Linked DNA regions of Danio rerio. The protein of the gene in region 2 purifies or fractionates together with the protein of the main gene of each other region. This does not show direct contact. Links are inferred from orthologs where the notes say so. Each region holds a gene or a part of one and is shown on either strand. Other genes may lie near its edges. The genes, in order: utp15, utp4 and wdr75.

What was found.
Region 1: the proteins of utp4 (region 2) and utp15 purify together in Homo sapiens (co-immunoprecipitation; 4 studies listed by BioGRID and IntAct, counting the BioPlex papers as one, with this or other methods). This does not show direct contact. The link is inferred for Danio rerio from reciprocal best matches to the Homo sapiens genes UTP4 and UTP15.
Region 3: the proteins of utp4 (region 2) and wdr75 purify together in Homo sapiens (co-immunoprecipitation; 3 studies listed by BioGRID and IntAct, counting the BioPlex papers as one, with this or other methods). This does not show direct contact. The link is inferred for Danio rerio from reciprocal best matches to the Homo sapiens genes UTP4 and WDR75.

Annotation. Positions count from the first base shown.
Region 1 is NC_133193.1:8,205,810-8,211,186, forward strand, and holds part of utp15 (U3 small nucleolar RNA-associated protein 15 homolog), read right to left. Parts: coding exon 5,320-5,377; intron 5,213-5,319; coding exon 5,057-5,212; intron 3,602-5,056; coding exon 3,500-3,601; intron 2,871-3,499; coding exon 2,737-2,870; intron 1-2,736. UniProt on the Homo sapiens protein: Ribosome biogenesis factor. Involved in nucleolar processing of pre-18S ribosomal RNA. Required for optimal pre-ribosomal RNA transcription by RNA polymerase I.
Region 2 is NC_133193.1:15,974,467-15,979,843, forward strand, and holds part of utp4 (U3 small nucleolar RNA-associated protein 4 homolog), read left to right. Parts: intron 1-782; coding exon 783-867; intron 868-2,136; coding exon 2,137-2,226; intron 2,227-2,307; coding exon 2,308-2,519; intron 2,520-3,156; coding exon 3,157-3,328; intron 3,329-3,422; coding exon 3,423-3,514; intron 3,515-3,606; coding exon 3,607-3,703; intron 3,704-5,377. UniProt on the Homo sapiens protein: Ribosome biogenesis factor. Involved in nucleolar processing of pre-18S ribosomal RNA. Part of the small subunit (SSU) processome, first precursor of the small eukaryotic ribosomal subunit.
Region 3 is NC_133184.1:42,851,001-42,856,377, forward strand, and holds part of wdr75 (WD repeat-containing protein 75), read right to left. Parts: exon of another isoform or gene 4,058-5,377; coding exon 3,962-4,057; intron 3,533-3,961; coding exon 3,363-3,532; intron 996-3,362; coding exon 936-995; intron 841-935; coding exon 697-840; exon of another isoform or gene 1-696. UniProt on the Homo sapiens protein: Ribosome biogenesis factor. Part of the small subunit (SSU) processome, first precursor of the small eukaryotic ribosomal subunit.

The DNA.
Region 1 (5,377 bases), about 7.8 Mb from region 2:
TCGCTAACTAAACAGGTTTGTTTGATGTCATAGTGCGGTACGTTTAGCTAGTGTGAACGTGTGTTCTGAACTCAGGTGCACCGCCAACTGTACAACAAACTATGGTTTTCATAACGTTCGTTTGTGTGTGCGTGTGTCTGTGTCACGTTTCGTACCTTGGCGACACGTGCGGACTGAGCCAGGGCAAATACAGTAATACACAGTGTGTGCTTGTCTCCTCCAAAAACGTTTCTGCAGCTTCTGTGATGTTCTGAATGTTTATAAAATTTTTGCAGCAGATGGACGCGAGTCACTGTCTCTATGTTCAAAACCAAAAGTTTCAGTTGAAGCAGAATGACCGCGATGTGCGGATATCTTCCCATTTCATCGGTTTGCTTTCGTGACTGTCACTTAGCAATGGCCGTAAACAAAACAGCAGTTTGATGACGCAAGCGTACCGGGCTTCAGAAGGAAAAAAGACGGTGTGAACACAAACCAACCGAGAAGGTGGCAAGGGGAGACAATCGAACTTGGGTACAGTGCAGGCAATTGAACAAAGAGTGAAAGCACCCCCCTAACTTTCCCATGTGGTCTCCCATCCAGGACGCAGCCCTACTTGGTTTCAGTGGGCGACCATGAGTTGCAGAGAGCTAGCTGCCAGTCATTAAGATTATGATCTTATTCTACATCCCGATTCCCTAATCCTACCAATACCTAAACCCAACTACTACCTTGCCAACAATTAATAGGCAGCAAATTAGTAGTTTACTTACATAAAAATCATAGTTAATGGTTTGGAAATGGCAAAAATTGTAGCTTAAAATAAAGTGACCAAAAAAAGATCTTTTTCAAAAACTAGCTTTTAAAATGTGTATTGTAATTGAAATCTACAGACACAAATTAATAAAAAGTGTGACAAAAGAAACTCTTAAAAGTGTCATTTAAATGTTTTCTTTATAATAGATTGAAGAAAAAACTCCCAAAGAAATCAAAACTGACAGGTACTTGAAACTTTACTTTAGGTACTTTAAATGGCATAAATGTGTTCAGGACACTGGTGACAATGGTGGTTTTCTTCTGTTGTGTGAAGCAGTTCACAGATTTGAGAACCGCCTCAGAATTTCCCTCTGCTTTGATCTTTCTAAGAAGTTCTGGTTTTGTCACAAGAATTGAACATCCTGCATTTCACAGAACATCTGGACAAGGCAAAAAGTACTGCGCCTTTTGCACTAATCCAGCTGCCGTAGACCGATGCGCTGTGCATTATGGGATATGGAGGAAAAATATTTGTTGACAGCGCTTTACCAACAGAGAGAGAGAGAGGGGAAAACATTACCTGATGGATCATTGGTATTATTTACGCAAGATGACCATGTCGCAGTTTAGCTAAATTAACTCACGCCTCCTCCTGAAGTGACGAGCGATGCATTAAAACACTGTTTTCAAGCCGCAGCCGCGCTTCATTCTCAAAATGTATAGTTTGTCTAAAGCAGGGATGCAATCAGTCAGCGCAGTCGTCCCTCCAGAGTAGAAACGACATTTAGTGTCCGCCGGTTTTGTTTACTGGCGGGAGTTCATTGGCATTTTCCCGCACATGAAATCTAACAAATCAATAAGCAGTTTAGGAAATATGTTCAATAACATCTGGCCAATGAGAGAAAACAAAAAGAAGAAATATCTTGAATTAGACGCTTCAATCAAGTTATGCTATGTTCACACTAGAATACGTGGTATGGGTGGATAAATTGTCAATTTGCGCGTAAACATTGAGTTTACTTGATTTATTCACGCGTCAAATCCATTTCATTCGTGCGTCAAATTCACTGAGCAATATAACTTGGGCGGAGCATCTGTCTGCCCGGTGACTGTAGCTTAGTTGCTAAATGGCGAACATTGATTTTAATGAGAGAGTAGCTGTGTTTATGTGCTTTAGGAAGGCGGATAAACAGCATCAATTCATTTGGAGCCGTGTCGGAGTTTACTAGATCCATTCAGAGGTGCACCCAGCCCTGTGAGCTCATTAACTCCTCCGTGTCTGGTGTGAACGCAGCATTAGAGTGGCTGACTGTAATATGGTAACCTATCAAGTAGTATGTAGTATGGTAACTTTAGTATGGTAACCTAGCAACCAACAGTAAACAAGCCACGCATAATGGAGGAAGCTGATTGTAGTGAGTATAATGTTCGCAAGACTCTGAAGTCTGAAGTAATGCGTGTGTGTGTGTGTGTGTGTGTGTGTATACATACAATTAAAGTCAGAATGGTAAGACTTTCAGTGAATTTTTTTCCTTTTTTAAATATTTCCCAAATGATGTTTAACAGAGCAAGGAAATTTTCACAGTATGTCTGATAATATTTTTTCTTCTAGAGAAAGTCTTAATTGTTTAATTTTGGCAAGAATTAAAACAGTTTTTAATATTTTTAAAACCATTTTAAGGTCAATATTATTAGCCTCTTTAAGCTACATTTTTGTAATTGTCTACAAAGCAAACCACCGTTAAACAATAACTTGTTTAATTAACCTAGTTAAGTCTTTTAATGTCACTTTAAGTTTAATACTAGTATCTTGAAAAACATCTAGTATAATATTAATGTACTGTCATCATGGCAAAGATAAAAGAAATCAGTTATTAGAAATAAGTTAAAACTATTATGTTAAGAAAAGTGTTGACAAAAACCTTCTTTCTGTTATGCCTATGAAGAATCCTTGTAAACCACATATAGAAGTGTGTGTGTGTGTGTGTGTGTGATACTCACTTGAGAAGAAAGTTGAGTATCTTGGTTAAGCTCACTTCATCTCGCCCAGCGAGGGCGTTTTTCAGTGTTCCTCTGCGGTTCAGCTCCATTATTACTGCGACCGTCACCTCTGGTTTAGTAGTTCGCGTCCATGTCTGCGAAAACACAAAAACATACACTGATATCTTCATCTGAGTAATCAAACCAAATAAGCACATTTGGTCACAATTATTAGCCCCCCGTACATTTTGTTCCTCAATTTCTGTTTAACAGAGAGAAGATTTTTTTCAACACATTTCTAAACGTAATAGTTTTAATACCTCATTTCTAATAACTGATTTATTTTATCTTTGCCATGATGACAGTACATATTATTTGACTAGATGTTTTTCAAGATACTAGTATTAAGCTTAAAGTGACATTTAAAGGCTTAACTAGGTTAATTAAGCAGGTTAGGGTAATTAGGCAAATCATTGTATAACGATGGTTTGTCCTGTAGACAATCAAAAAACAATATTGCTCGAGGGGGCTAATAATATTGACCTTAAAATGTTTGTTAATAAATTAAAAACTGCTTTTATTCTAGCTGAAAAAAACAAATAAAACTTTCTCCAGAAGAAAAATATTATCAGACATACTGTGAAAATCTCCTTGCTCTGTCAAACATCATTTGCAAAATATTTAAAAAAGAAAAACAATTCACAGGGGGCGAATCATTCTGACTGCAACTTTATGTACTTTTTTTTTTTTTTAGATATTATTGTATATAAAGCTTCATGTTCACCTCAAGCGCAGTGTCCAGGGCTTTGGAGACCTCAAATCTTTTCAGCTGTTTGTCGTATTTCTGTAGATGCTGCCTCACTGGTTTACTGACCAGGAAATCATCCTAAAAGAGATGAGAATAGAGTTAGTGTAGATGATAATATAAATTTAATATGTTTCTTGTTTTATTTGTTGGTGTAAACAAGCCTTAAGAAAATTGATTTAGTAATTAAAAAAAAAAAAGTAAAATGTTTATCTAAAAAAATTTTCAATTATAAAATATAATTTTTTCCCCTAAAAAGCATACACTCACTGGCCACTTTACTAATTTCAACCTTACTAATACAAGGGGTTGGACCCCCTTTTGCCTCCTGAATTCCCTTAATCATGGCATAGATTCAACTAGATACTGGAAATATTCCTCAGAGATTTTGGTCCATATTGAGATGATAGCATCACGCAGTTGCTGCAGATTTGTCGGCTGCACATCCATGATGCGAATCTCCCGTTCCACCACATCCCAAAGATGCTCTATTGGATTGAGCTCTGGTGACTGTGTACAGTGAACTCATCATCATGTCCAGGAAACCAGTATGAGATCATTCGTGCTTTATGACATGGTGTGTTATCCTGCTGGAAATAGCCATCAGAAGATAGGTACACTGTGGTTATAAAGGGATGGACATGGTCAGCAACATTATTCAGGTAGGCTGTGGCGTTGACACAATGTTTAATTGGTACTAATGGGCCCAAAGTGTGTCAAGAAAAATATCCCCTACACAATCACACCACCACCAGCAGCCTGAACCACTGATACAAGGCAGGATGGATCCATGCTTTCATGTTGTTGATGCCAAATTCTGACCCTACCATCCGAATGTCACAGCAGAAATAGAGACTCATCAGACCAGGCAATGTTTCTCCAATCTTCTTTTGTCTAATTTTGGTGAGCCTGTGTGAATTGTAGCCTCAGTTTCCTGTTCTTAGCTGGCAGAAGTGGCACCCAGTGTTGTGCATTCAGAGATGTTCTTCTGAATACCTCGGTTGTAATGAGTGAATTTTTTTTGAGTTACTGTTGCCTTCCTATCAGCTGGAACCAGTCTGGCCATTCTCCTCTGACCTCTGGCATCAACAATGCATTTGCACCCACAGAACTGGCGCTCACTGGATATTTTCTCTTTTTCTGATCATTCTCTGTAAACCCTAGATATGGTTGTGCATGAAAATCCCAGTAGATCAGCAGTTTCTGAAATACTCAGACCAGCCCGTCTGCCACCACCAACCATGCCACATTCAAAGTCAATTAAATCACCTTTCTCCCCCATTTTGATGCTCGGTTTAAACTGCAGCAGGTCGTCTTGATCATGTCTACATGCCTAAATGCATTGAGTTGCTGCCATGTGATTGGCTGATTAGAAATTTGAGTTAACTAGCAGTTGGACAGGTGTACCGAATAAAGTGGCCGGTGAGTGTAAATAATATATTTTGTAATACATGCATCATATAATATAATATTTTGAACTTATATTTCTTAAACTCAAGTTAAAGTGAGAAAAAATTATTAATGCAAATATAATACCTGTCTAGGCACAAAGTTTTTCCCCTTAACAAAGAAGCGGTACGACGGACCGCGTTTCCTTCGACCTGTTAAAGCTTCTTTCTCTTCTTTGTGTTTCCTGTGTCTGATGCTCAACACACCATTGGTCATTCCTACAGCGACTGCTTCATCATCAGGCTAGAGGAAAAACCACAATAAACAACACCTTACACCAAGAGCAAGTGGAAATAACACTTATATTATTATATGCAAACATTTCCTTCAGTGTAATGAGCTAAACGTACCGCAACAGCCAGACTGAGAATAGATGACGCACAGTCAAAATTATGCACAACCTTATAG
Region 2 (5,377 bases):
CTTCTGTGACACTTAATGTATGAATTCCATTGTATTACATAATGAATTTTGCTGACAGTTATTGAACTAATTTAAATCTGCAGTGGATTTACTCATGTTGAACAGCACTGTTGTCACTTGTAGGGCTAGTTATAGTAAAACTGACCAATTTTTGTACTTTTAAAGGGATAATTTCCCAAAAAGATAAAAATTCTGTCATAATTTACATTTTACTCGTAACAAACCACTTTTACTTTCTTTTGTTGAACACAAAAAGCTATTTTTAGGGAAGCTGGAAGCCTTTAACCATTGAACTCATAGGATTGTTTTTTTTCCTACTATGGAAGTCTGTGGTTACTGGCTTTCAGAATTTTTGTAAATATATTTTGTGTTCAACAGAATAAAGAAACGTATAAAAGTTTGTAATCACTTGAGCGTGAGTAAATTCAATTTTTTGGGTGAGCTAGATATTGAACATGGATATGTCAACGATGGCAATGTTTGCAAGAATTTAAATTTGTATTATTGATATACTGGGCTTGATTCACAGGATGTGACAGTATTATTATTTTAAACAGATGGAAAGGAAGCAGTAGTTTAATTATACAAATGTTACATATATTGTTAATTTGCTCATAAATTTAAGTTTGCAGCACTGGAGGGAAACCGTTTGTGTGGAATAAGGATATTTGTCAAAGAATCATCGATAAAGCTATATGTAAACAAACAAATAAAGATAATTTATTTTACAGAAAGATACCATAAGTAAAACTTTTGAAGTTTTTAAATCTTTATGTTTGCAGGTTGGTTGTGAAGATGGAACTGTGAAACTATTTGAGGTGACTGAAGACAAAATACAGTTTGAGAGAAATCTGGACAGACAGAAAGGTGAGATTGTTGTTCAGCCTCTGTTTTTCAGCCTCTGTTTCCACCTGCCATTATTGTCATTGTGTTCAGATGGGTTTCTTGTATGTTAGATTTCTTAGATTTTTCACCTTTCTCTCTGTTGAATGAACTATGTAATATGTTTTTGGGCGAGCAGAAATTTAAGTAAATTAAAATGATGTGCATGGCAACTACAATTTCAATTGTAATCTATGCAGTGTGGTGCAATAGAGCGAAGCTTGAGTAGCTTGTTTTGTTTATTTTTGGTGAATTTTGTATTAATCGTGATAAGTCAGTAGGCAAAGAGTTAGGTAGTCTATTGTGGCAAGTTTAAAATTCTATTGAATTCAAGTGTAATTGTAAACAATTAAATTTATTTTAACCACCTCTAAAAGTGCTTGAAAGTGAGTGAGTTTTGTATTTAACAGCTTTCATATAAAAACAACAATCTGATTGATGACAAAAAAACAGCTTAACATTAAGGCTGATTTATACTTCTGCGTCAAACGGCGCTGACGCATAGCCCTTCGCCATGGCCGTCGGCGTCGCTGACGTGCACCTCTCAAAAATTGTAACTACACGTTGCAACGGCGCGTAGCGCAAGCTCTGTGATTGGTCGGCTTGGTAGCGCTGACGAGTCTGGGCGGGACCAAGAGCCGCGCGAATGGCGCAAGCAGGACGCGAGCACAATGGAGCGATTGTTTACAACTGTGGAATCCTGTGAAGGAGCTCCAGATGGAAAGTTTTGTTTTGTGTTTACCTCATAGTTAAAGTTGTTGCACGTCCGCCAGTTCCTGCCTCACAATGAGCGAGTTTGAGCCACTTGTACATCCAGGAAGTGTTCAGGAAAAGCAAAACAGCAGAGAAGAAACTCGACACAGAGGAACATTAACACCTCACTGCCCACTAGCGTTTCGGAAGTGTTAATTCAGACCAACAGAGACAGCGCGCAGAAGTATAAATGCACAGCTACGCGCGTTGCATGCGCCGTGGGTCACGCCGGTCACTTGACGCAGAAGTGTAAACCAGGCTTTAGGTGTAAATGGAACATAAGGTACCTTATAGTCATTTACAGTCATTTTTTTCTGTGCTTATTGCTCAAAGCTTAAAGTGTATGTACATATCTTCATTTTTCTTGTTATTTATACATTATTTACTCTTGTAGTTACAGTAAATGCTATTTATAATGTGCAAAATGCCATAGTTGAATGCAGTTTAACCTTAAAACAGAAAAACTGCATTTTAGAACAATATCTGATTACTCTATTACAGGCCGGATTATATCTCTATCCTGGCACCCTTCAGGGTCCAAAATAGCAGCGGGAATGATGGATATGATCCAAGTTTTCAATGTGGAGACAGGTAAAAAGCATGGCTCTATTATTGAATATGTTGCATAAACTTGTGAGTGATGATGTCATCCAAAGTTTGATTGAATTTTAGGCCACTCTAAACATCGGATATTGGTGGACAGAGGGTACGGGACGTCCCGCGGTAAGGAGTGTGTAGTGTGGAGTGTGGTCTACCTTTCAGATGGGACCATCATCAGCGGAGACTCTGTGGGAATGGTGAAAATGTGGAGGGATGACACTGGTACACTGATCAAAAGCCACAATATTACAAAATCGGATGTGCTTTCGTTATCAGTGTCTCAGGTGAGAACATGGCTGCATGTTGATGTTACAGTATCACATTTATGACTTCAAATAGTACTTACCAAAAGTTTGAGATCGGTAAGATTTGAACTTAAAATAAATTAATTAAATAATAAAAAATATATAATGTTAATAAGAAAAAAAAATTATATTCCACAAAATAGTTCAATTAGTTTTATTGCTGAAATTTTATTAGAATTTATAACAACTTTTTCAAAATTATTTTAACATTTGCAAATGTAATATTTTGGTTTTAATGGAAAATCTTCTTTACTAAAGTCTTCAGTGTGACATAATCAATACAATTATTGGTTGTTAATTTAAAAAATGTTAAAATACAGTGTGATTTAATATTTTTGTGGGAAATTGGATCCAACTTTTTTGGGTTTAGGTGATGGGGAGGGGGGGGTGAAAATCTTTTATGAAAAGTAAATGAAAATAAAAAGCTTCATTTATTTCATAGAATTTATCAAATGAATCATTCTTGCTAAATAAAAGTTAAAATTTCTTTCAAAACACACCTTACTGATCACAACCTTTTGAAAAGTAGTATACGTGTACATTTTTGTTCAGTTTTACCTGACATGCTTTGGGAATACAGACAGAAAGCTGATTATTGTACCCTCTTGAATGACAGAATGAGGACAGTATCGTGGCTGGGACGTCAGAAGGATTTGTGGTGCAGTTCCAGTTTCTTTCTATGGTTTTGGAAAATAATGAGAAAGATTGGGTCAGAACCAGAACATTCAGGAACCACACACATGATGTTCGAGCTGTGGCTGAGATCACAACAGCTGTGGTTTCAGGAGGCGAGTTAATTTTTTTCATTTAATAGTTAAAACAGTCAATCTATCAGTTTTGTTTCAGATTCTGAAATGAGCAAATGCATTGTTCTCTTCTCAGGTATGGACACACAGTTGGTTGTGAGACCTTTGTTAGACAAGCATGAAGTGAAGTCATCAGCCTCTAAGCTGCGGAAGATTCAGTTTCCACATGTGAGTATTGTGCATTTGTGTTTTTTTCACATAGAAATGTTTGTAAATGACTCTTAATGTGAGGCTTTTTGTTCTGCCCTGTTGCATTAAAGAGGAGTTTGGTGTCCTGTGCAAGGAAGGCAGGCACGTTACTGTTCCAGTACCCTGGTCATTTGGAGCTCTGGAGACTTGGGGAGAGCGAAGGAGAAGGTGAAGATCATATTCAGTGCCATAGCAGATATCGAATACCTGGGAGACCCTAAGGGCTCTATTTTAAAGATCTAAGCGCAAAGTCTAAAGTGCATGGCGCAAAAGCATTAATTGTGTGTCTGAATTCACTTTTGTCTATTTTAAGGATGGAAAAATATGGTCTGTGCCCTGGTGCATCGTCTAAAAGGGTCATGTTTATTCTCTTAATGAGTTCTGGGTGTGTTTTGAGCATAACATGCATTAAACAATCAGAGTCTCATCTCCCATTCCATAAGAGTCAGTTGTGTCGCACAATGGTGCATTTGCTATTCACATAGCTGTGTTTTTAAGTGGAAAAGCTGAATGCTTCACTAGCGAAAAAACAGTTAAACAGATGATCTGCAGCGCATTATAAAGAACGAGCCTCCTCCATTCTGCCTCTTTTCTCGCCACTCCACTCATTCCACTGAAGACATCCATTAGCCTACTTATTTAATTTTATTTGTTAAGTGCAAAGATTTGTTTCAAAACTGTTTTTAAATTCAGTTCTAATTTCCAGCAAACAAATAAATGAACAATAATAACAAAGCGTGGTCAAAAAACTATTAGTTTTTGGAGTTCTATGCAAAGACGGGACTTATCGTTACTCCCCAAAACCGCACAGGTTGACAAATCTAAACTTGTTTTTATTAAAACTAAAATAAATATGCATATAATAAATAATACTGCTAATAATAATATTATACAAATGCAAATTGTCATGAATAAACTGAAAAAAGCCCCTCGAGATGAAGGCTTGGATCTAGTGGTTTTTACATTAATGTAGAAAATGCAAATTTTTATAACCTTTTAATCCTTTAGTTTTTTTTTTTTTATATGTAAAGATATTTGTGTATTGCTGTACATCCTGTGTGTATTAAGCAATGTGTTAGTGTTTGGACCCATATAGGCGCATAACTAATGCTCTCTGTGCTGGACTTTAGACCAGCTTTTAGTTGGTCAATGGTGCGGTCTATTTCAGTTCTTCAAAATAGCAACACACCAAGAATGCGCCTTAACACACCTTTATTTTAGACCGACACATCTATAAGTGCACAAAGTGGTGCAAATTAATTTGCTATTTAAACATCATGGTGCAAACATAAAAATTACTGTTGCTCTGGTCTGAAAACAGCAACAAATTGCGCCATACATGTCTTGTGCCTATTTCGCAGTGTATGATAGGGCTCCTAGTCATTCTCTACCATAATTCACAATAGAGGGAAATTATGTTTCATAGTAAAGTCATAAAACTATGAAATATGAAGTATGTTAATTAATACAACTACCTGAATATTCACAGCCAGTAAAATATTGTTTTAGTCATTTTAAAAACTCTTAGTTTTAATCAGCAAAGACATATTTGAGCAAAAGATGCTGTGAAGATATTTACAACTTTGCACAAAGAAAATGATGTAGTTGTTTTTCATCTTTAGTTCATCAAAGTATTCTATATAAGAAAGAAAGAAAGAAAGAAAGACATTGAAACTTTTACTTTAAATGAATATTTCATTATTCTGTTGAACACAAAAAGAAGATATTTTAAAGAAAGATGAAAACCTGTAATCACTAACTTCCATAGTAGGAAAAACACATACTATGTGAGTCTATGGTTACAGGTTTTAAGCTTTTTAATATATATCTTCTTTTGTGTTC
Region 3 (5,377 bases), on a different chromosome or scaffold from region 2:
GAAGTAGCCATCAGAAGATGGGTACACTGTGGTCATAAAGGGATGAACAGGGTCAGCAACAATACTCAGGTAGGCTGTGGCGTTGACACGATGCTCAATTGGTACTACTGGGCCCAAAGTGTGCAAAGAAAATATCCCCCACACCATTACACAACCACCACCAGCCTGAATTCTTAATACAAGGCAGGATGGATCCATGCTTTCATGTTGCTGATGTCAAATTCTGACCCTACCATCCGAATGTCGCAGCAGAAACTGAGACTCATCAGACCAGGCAATGTTTCTCCAATCTTCTAGTACAATTTGGGCGAGCCTGTGCGAATGGTAGCCTCAGTTTTTCGGTTTTTAGCTGACTGGTGTGGCACCCGCTGTGTTCTTCTAGCGCTGTAGCCCATTGTATGTTTTCCTATGATGTCAAAGCTGAATTTTTTTAGCATCATCGCTCCAGTCAGTTATGCAGTCCTTTAGAAGTCGTTTTAAAATGCTGATCTGATGCTCAAGAAACAAGTTTGGCCTAATTTTAAAGCAATTGTAATACTTTTTTGTCATGTTTTGTGATGAATAGAGAGTTACATAGAAAATCTTTTTTTTAAACACTTTTGTAACACTCAGAAAGCCTTTACTGTCTCCTTTAATCAATTTATATAGATGTTTTGCAGAATAATCCCCCTTATAATGGCAATAAAATGGACTTGCCTGTTTGATGGTGACCGATCCCTGTGTGTGTTGAGGTTTGTCTGCTGGTTCTTGAGTCTCTGTGTTGAGTTTGTGCTGCTGTTTCCGGTGTCTGCCCAACAGCAGGTAAAACGGTGTTACAGCAACACTCTCATCAATCACAAGCTGCACCAAGGAGAGACACAGTTACTCTTAGAGCCATTCACAATTAATGAGCAGAATGGAGGTGTAAGGTTAAAAACAACAACAAAAGTCCATACCCGCTTACTAGAAGACAACATTCTGTCCTCTTCTGTTGCTGAGCTGAAGGTCAACAAATCCTAATAAATTGAACACAGACCATTTTAGCCAGAATGTGAGTATTTAGTATTAACAGTATTAATTATGAGTAATATTTCATAGAGAAATAATTATAATAATTATATGCAATTACAATACAAATTTGTATATTTTACTTGACAAAAGAAAACACAGGGTTCCACATTATATAAAATAAGCCATATATATATTTATTTATATGAAGAGTTCAGACGCAAAAGCCGCTTAAGGCCACTTCTTTTTTTTTTTTTACTTTTGTTTTTTATTCGTTTTAACATAACGGAACAAACAGATAACCAGAGGCATCACATACAACTATTACATTCTTCTTATACAGTCGTTTTTATAGTACAGGTTACTCTCCCATTAGCCCCCCACTCCAACCCGCCCGTAAAAGGTACTGTATTATAAGCATAAACACCAACATAGTTTCCTTCAAGTCCACATGATTTAGTCTTTTACAATCTGTAATGTGCGGTCCAAACAAAATATTTCACATATATAATATACATATACATGTACATATATTGAAAAAATAAGTAATAATAAAAATAACAAATATAAATAAATATAAATAAGGGGAGGAGGGGGGTTCGCACTCATAGCAAAGCATTTCCTAGCAAATTATATATTTTCTGTATTAAACGCCACTTCTGCCAAAAATGAGCTTATGACATTGAGTGAATGCTTTAGGCACGTAGTACATGTTCAACAAATAGTTTTGCTTGAAATCATCTAAATCGCAGCATCAGCGCATTCAGAAGTAACAGTTTGTTTACACCACCTGCCTTTGACAGCAAAAGCCGCTACATCTCAAGAACCATAGAAGGTGCGAATCAAATCACGTTTTCAATGCAGCAGCGTGCTGATACGCCGGCTTTATGAGGAGAGTGTTTTATTTAGCTTCCGATTAAGATTCTAAATAACAGAGCTTGATGAACTGGATGAGCCTCTCCAACTGTCAGTGAATGGCAAATGAAAACGTCTCTTACCTCAAAACTCTGTGCATTTTAAGAAAAAGAAAACATAATGTACAGTCAGAAGTGTAGCTTGCATTCATAAAGTTTTTTGCGCAGCGATACTACTTTGAATGAACTGCATTTCATAAAAGACAGAGTTAAGAGGCTGTTCTTTTATCCCACATGGATGCCATGAGGATAAACGAGATGAAAAGGAGACCAAGACAGTGATTATGGTGAGAACGAATGACAGCTTCAAATAGTGTCTGAGAGGCATCCCCTGTTTGCTCAGTAGGCCTACCATGTGTTTTATGTTCTAATATAAGCTATTTTTTTTTAAAGACAAATATAATGTATGAAACTATACTTTTTTGTATTACTTCATACTACATAAACGCCAAACAAGCTTTTTATATTAAAGGACAACGCACAGATATCAATGTTTCACAATGTGTTTACATAATTTGAATCTAACAAGCTTAGTGTAAAATATTTGCAATGTTTACATCGCTCTACTTACAATAAAATAAATAAAATAAATAATAATAAAAAAAAAAACAACAACAACAGATAGTTAGGATTTAATTAATGTTTATTTTAATGTTATTGTTTTGATTCATTTATTTTCCTTTAGTCTCTGGTTTATCATAGGTTACCACAGCGAAATGAACCGCCACACACTTGACAGATTTATATATTTTAAGTTTTAGATGGTCTTTGTAATGTGTTTTATGTTTAGTAAAATAATTTATACTTGCATCTTGTGATTTTTCAACTGATTGCACAGATTGTCCCAATAGATGGATTTAGAGGTTATGCAATAAAAGCAGACGTGGATTTAGCTGGATTTGACACAAAAGAAAATGTACCTTGTTAAAAACCAAAGAATTGTCTAAAGGGACATTTTTTGAAAAAAAAGAGCTATTTGTATATCCCAACTAATAACTTTCATTATCTATAAAATGAAACTTCTGAGCCTAATTATAGGAGCCTGATAGAAAATGCCCATTTACAAGAAAAAAGGTCTAATGGATTTAGAGGGTTTTGCATCTGAACTCATAATTTATATACATATACATGCATACACACACACACACACACACACACACACACTTTATAAAATGTGCAACCCTGTGTTTTTTAATGTCGAGACCCCTTCTTACCTTCTTTGTAAATGAAACCCCCCTATTTTTTATTTATATTCTTCTATTATTAATTAGCATATTTTTTGTTTGTTGGGATAATTGTAATGTTATAGCTGCTTAAATATCTGTATTCCATTATTATACTGTATGTTTAAAACCAGCAGATTATACTATATATTTTACGCCATGCACTTATTGTTATCCAAGTATCAGCTTAATAATAAAAAAAAAGGACATGTTTTGACTCTAGGTATGACTGAAGTACCATGTTGTGTGTGAGGAAGTAGAGCTGAGATCTGTTGAGCCACTGACAGCTTTCATCACAACTGTTGAACGGCTCTTCTCGAGGAACAAACACGGCTCGATCCACCCTTTCTAGACACACGTATCTCTGGCTGAACAAAGGCCGTGGCTCGCTGGGCTTGAACACAAACACTGAACACACACCAGAGAAGACATTAAACAGCAGCTTGTGATCAATTAAAGGCGTTTATGCTCTTGTCAATTTTCAGATTTCTGCCATTTTCAGTCTAATGCAAAGAAAACATCCATAATGCACTTTAATGCGTTTCATTTGTCACACTTTATCAAATTGTGTCTGTATTTTTGTATCCTAAATTATTACAATACATTTTATTAAAGGTTTGCAGTTTCATCATCTATATTTTGAAGGTTATGACACAACATTGTTCATTTAAATTTTAGCTAATTGTACAACACATTATTGATTTTATATTTTATTTTTACTGAATTATAAAGTGACAAAAAGAGATTTCCAAAAGAGCACCAATAAAAAAAAAAAAAACACACATTACTTCTAACCAAACACTAAAGAGATGTAGGTGATGACCTTTAAACACTTACGGTGTGTGTGTTTAGACTCGAATGAAAAAGCGGCCACATTTTCTGACAAAGGGTCCGACTGCAGCCTGGAAACATCCACAGATGTGCTCCATTCCACTGTGAACCACCGAGATGAAACCAAACAGTGAATAAAACCAGACATAAACTTACTTGGTTACCCACAGAAAATAGTGCTTCACCTTAAATAATAGTCCTAGCATCATTAACTCACTGTCATATTATTTCCAGTGATCCATAATATATTGGCATTAGCCATTAAATGCTTAGATTAATCATAATCAGTCTGCTAAGAAAACTTAATAGGCTCATAAAAGTGATTTCAACTTTAGAGTAGAGGTCTGTGCAGGATTTTTTAGTCCTGCTCCTGAGAGGTTTTATTCCACACCCGACCGCTCCAGCTGTATATTCAGTCTTTATTCAACTGCTGCCAGCCTAGAATAATTTTCTACTAGACCTGACCGTTCTTGCTAAATTTACATCCGGTTTCCAAACTCTCACGATAAAACTGGGTACTACCAAAAGAAAGAGATAACAGATAAAACTTTGGATTGTGCAAGGATAGTAGGGTAAATGTCCGTTTAGTTTCATGAGTCTCATTACAAAGCGGCCTTAAACCTGAGGTTCCAGTCTTGTGATTTTTAAAGGGTAAAACTGTGAGGTATTATCACATCGTGCAAAGGGTGAATTTTTCCATTTGCATCTATGAAACATCAAAAAGACTCCCATACATCAGACTTGCCTGATGTGGGTTTTAAATAAATTAAATTCATGTTTATTTCTATAGCACTTTTACAACGTAGATTGTGTCAAAGCAGCTTAACATAGACTTTCTAGTAAATTGAAACTGGGTCAGTCCAGTTTTTAGAGTTGAAGTTCAGTTCAGTGTGGTTTAAATTTCCCTGCTGAAAGTCCAAACACTGAAGAGCAAATCCACCGATGTCCCAAACCAAGCAAGCCATTAGTGAGGAACAAACTTCACCAATTGACGAAGTGGAGGAAAAAAACCTGGAGAGAAACCAGGCTCAGTTAGGCACGACCATTTCTCCTCTGGACAATTCTTGTGCAAAGATCTAGGCAGTCTAGGCAGCAGAGGCTGGAGAACGCTGGACGTCCACTGTGGAGAGCCGCAGGTGAGTTCAGGCTGGCCCACAGGATCAAGCGGAGTCTGTCACAGGGCTCTTTCAGAGTCTCATGCTCTTCACTCTTCTATGACCACCACAGCATCAGCTCAAGATACAACTTAGTCCAGGATTATGGATGGCATCATTTCTTCAAAGGTCTTTGCTAACAGTAAACTGACCGTTTTCTTAATGCAAGCAGAAGGTCAGCGCATCTTCAGTTTGCTCTACAACGTTGGTGAAGCCCGCTCTGATGCACGCACAGACTGTGCAGGAAAAAAGCATGTGCTTTCAATAA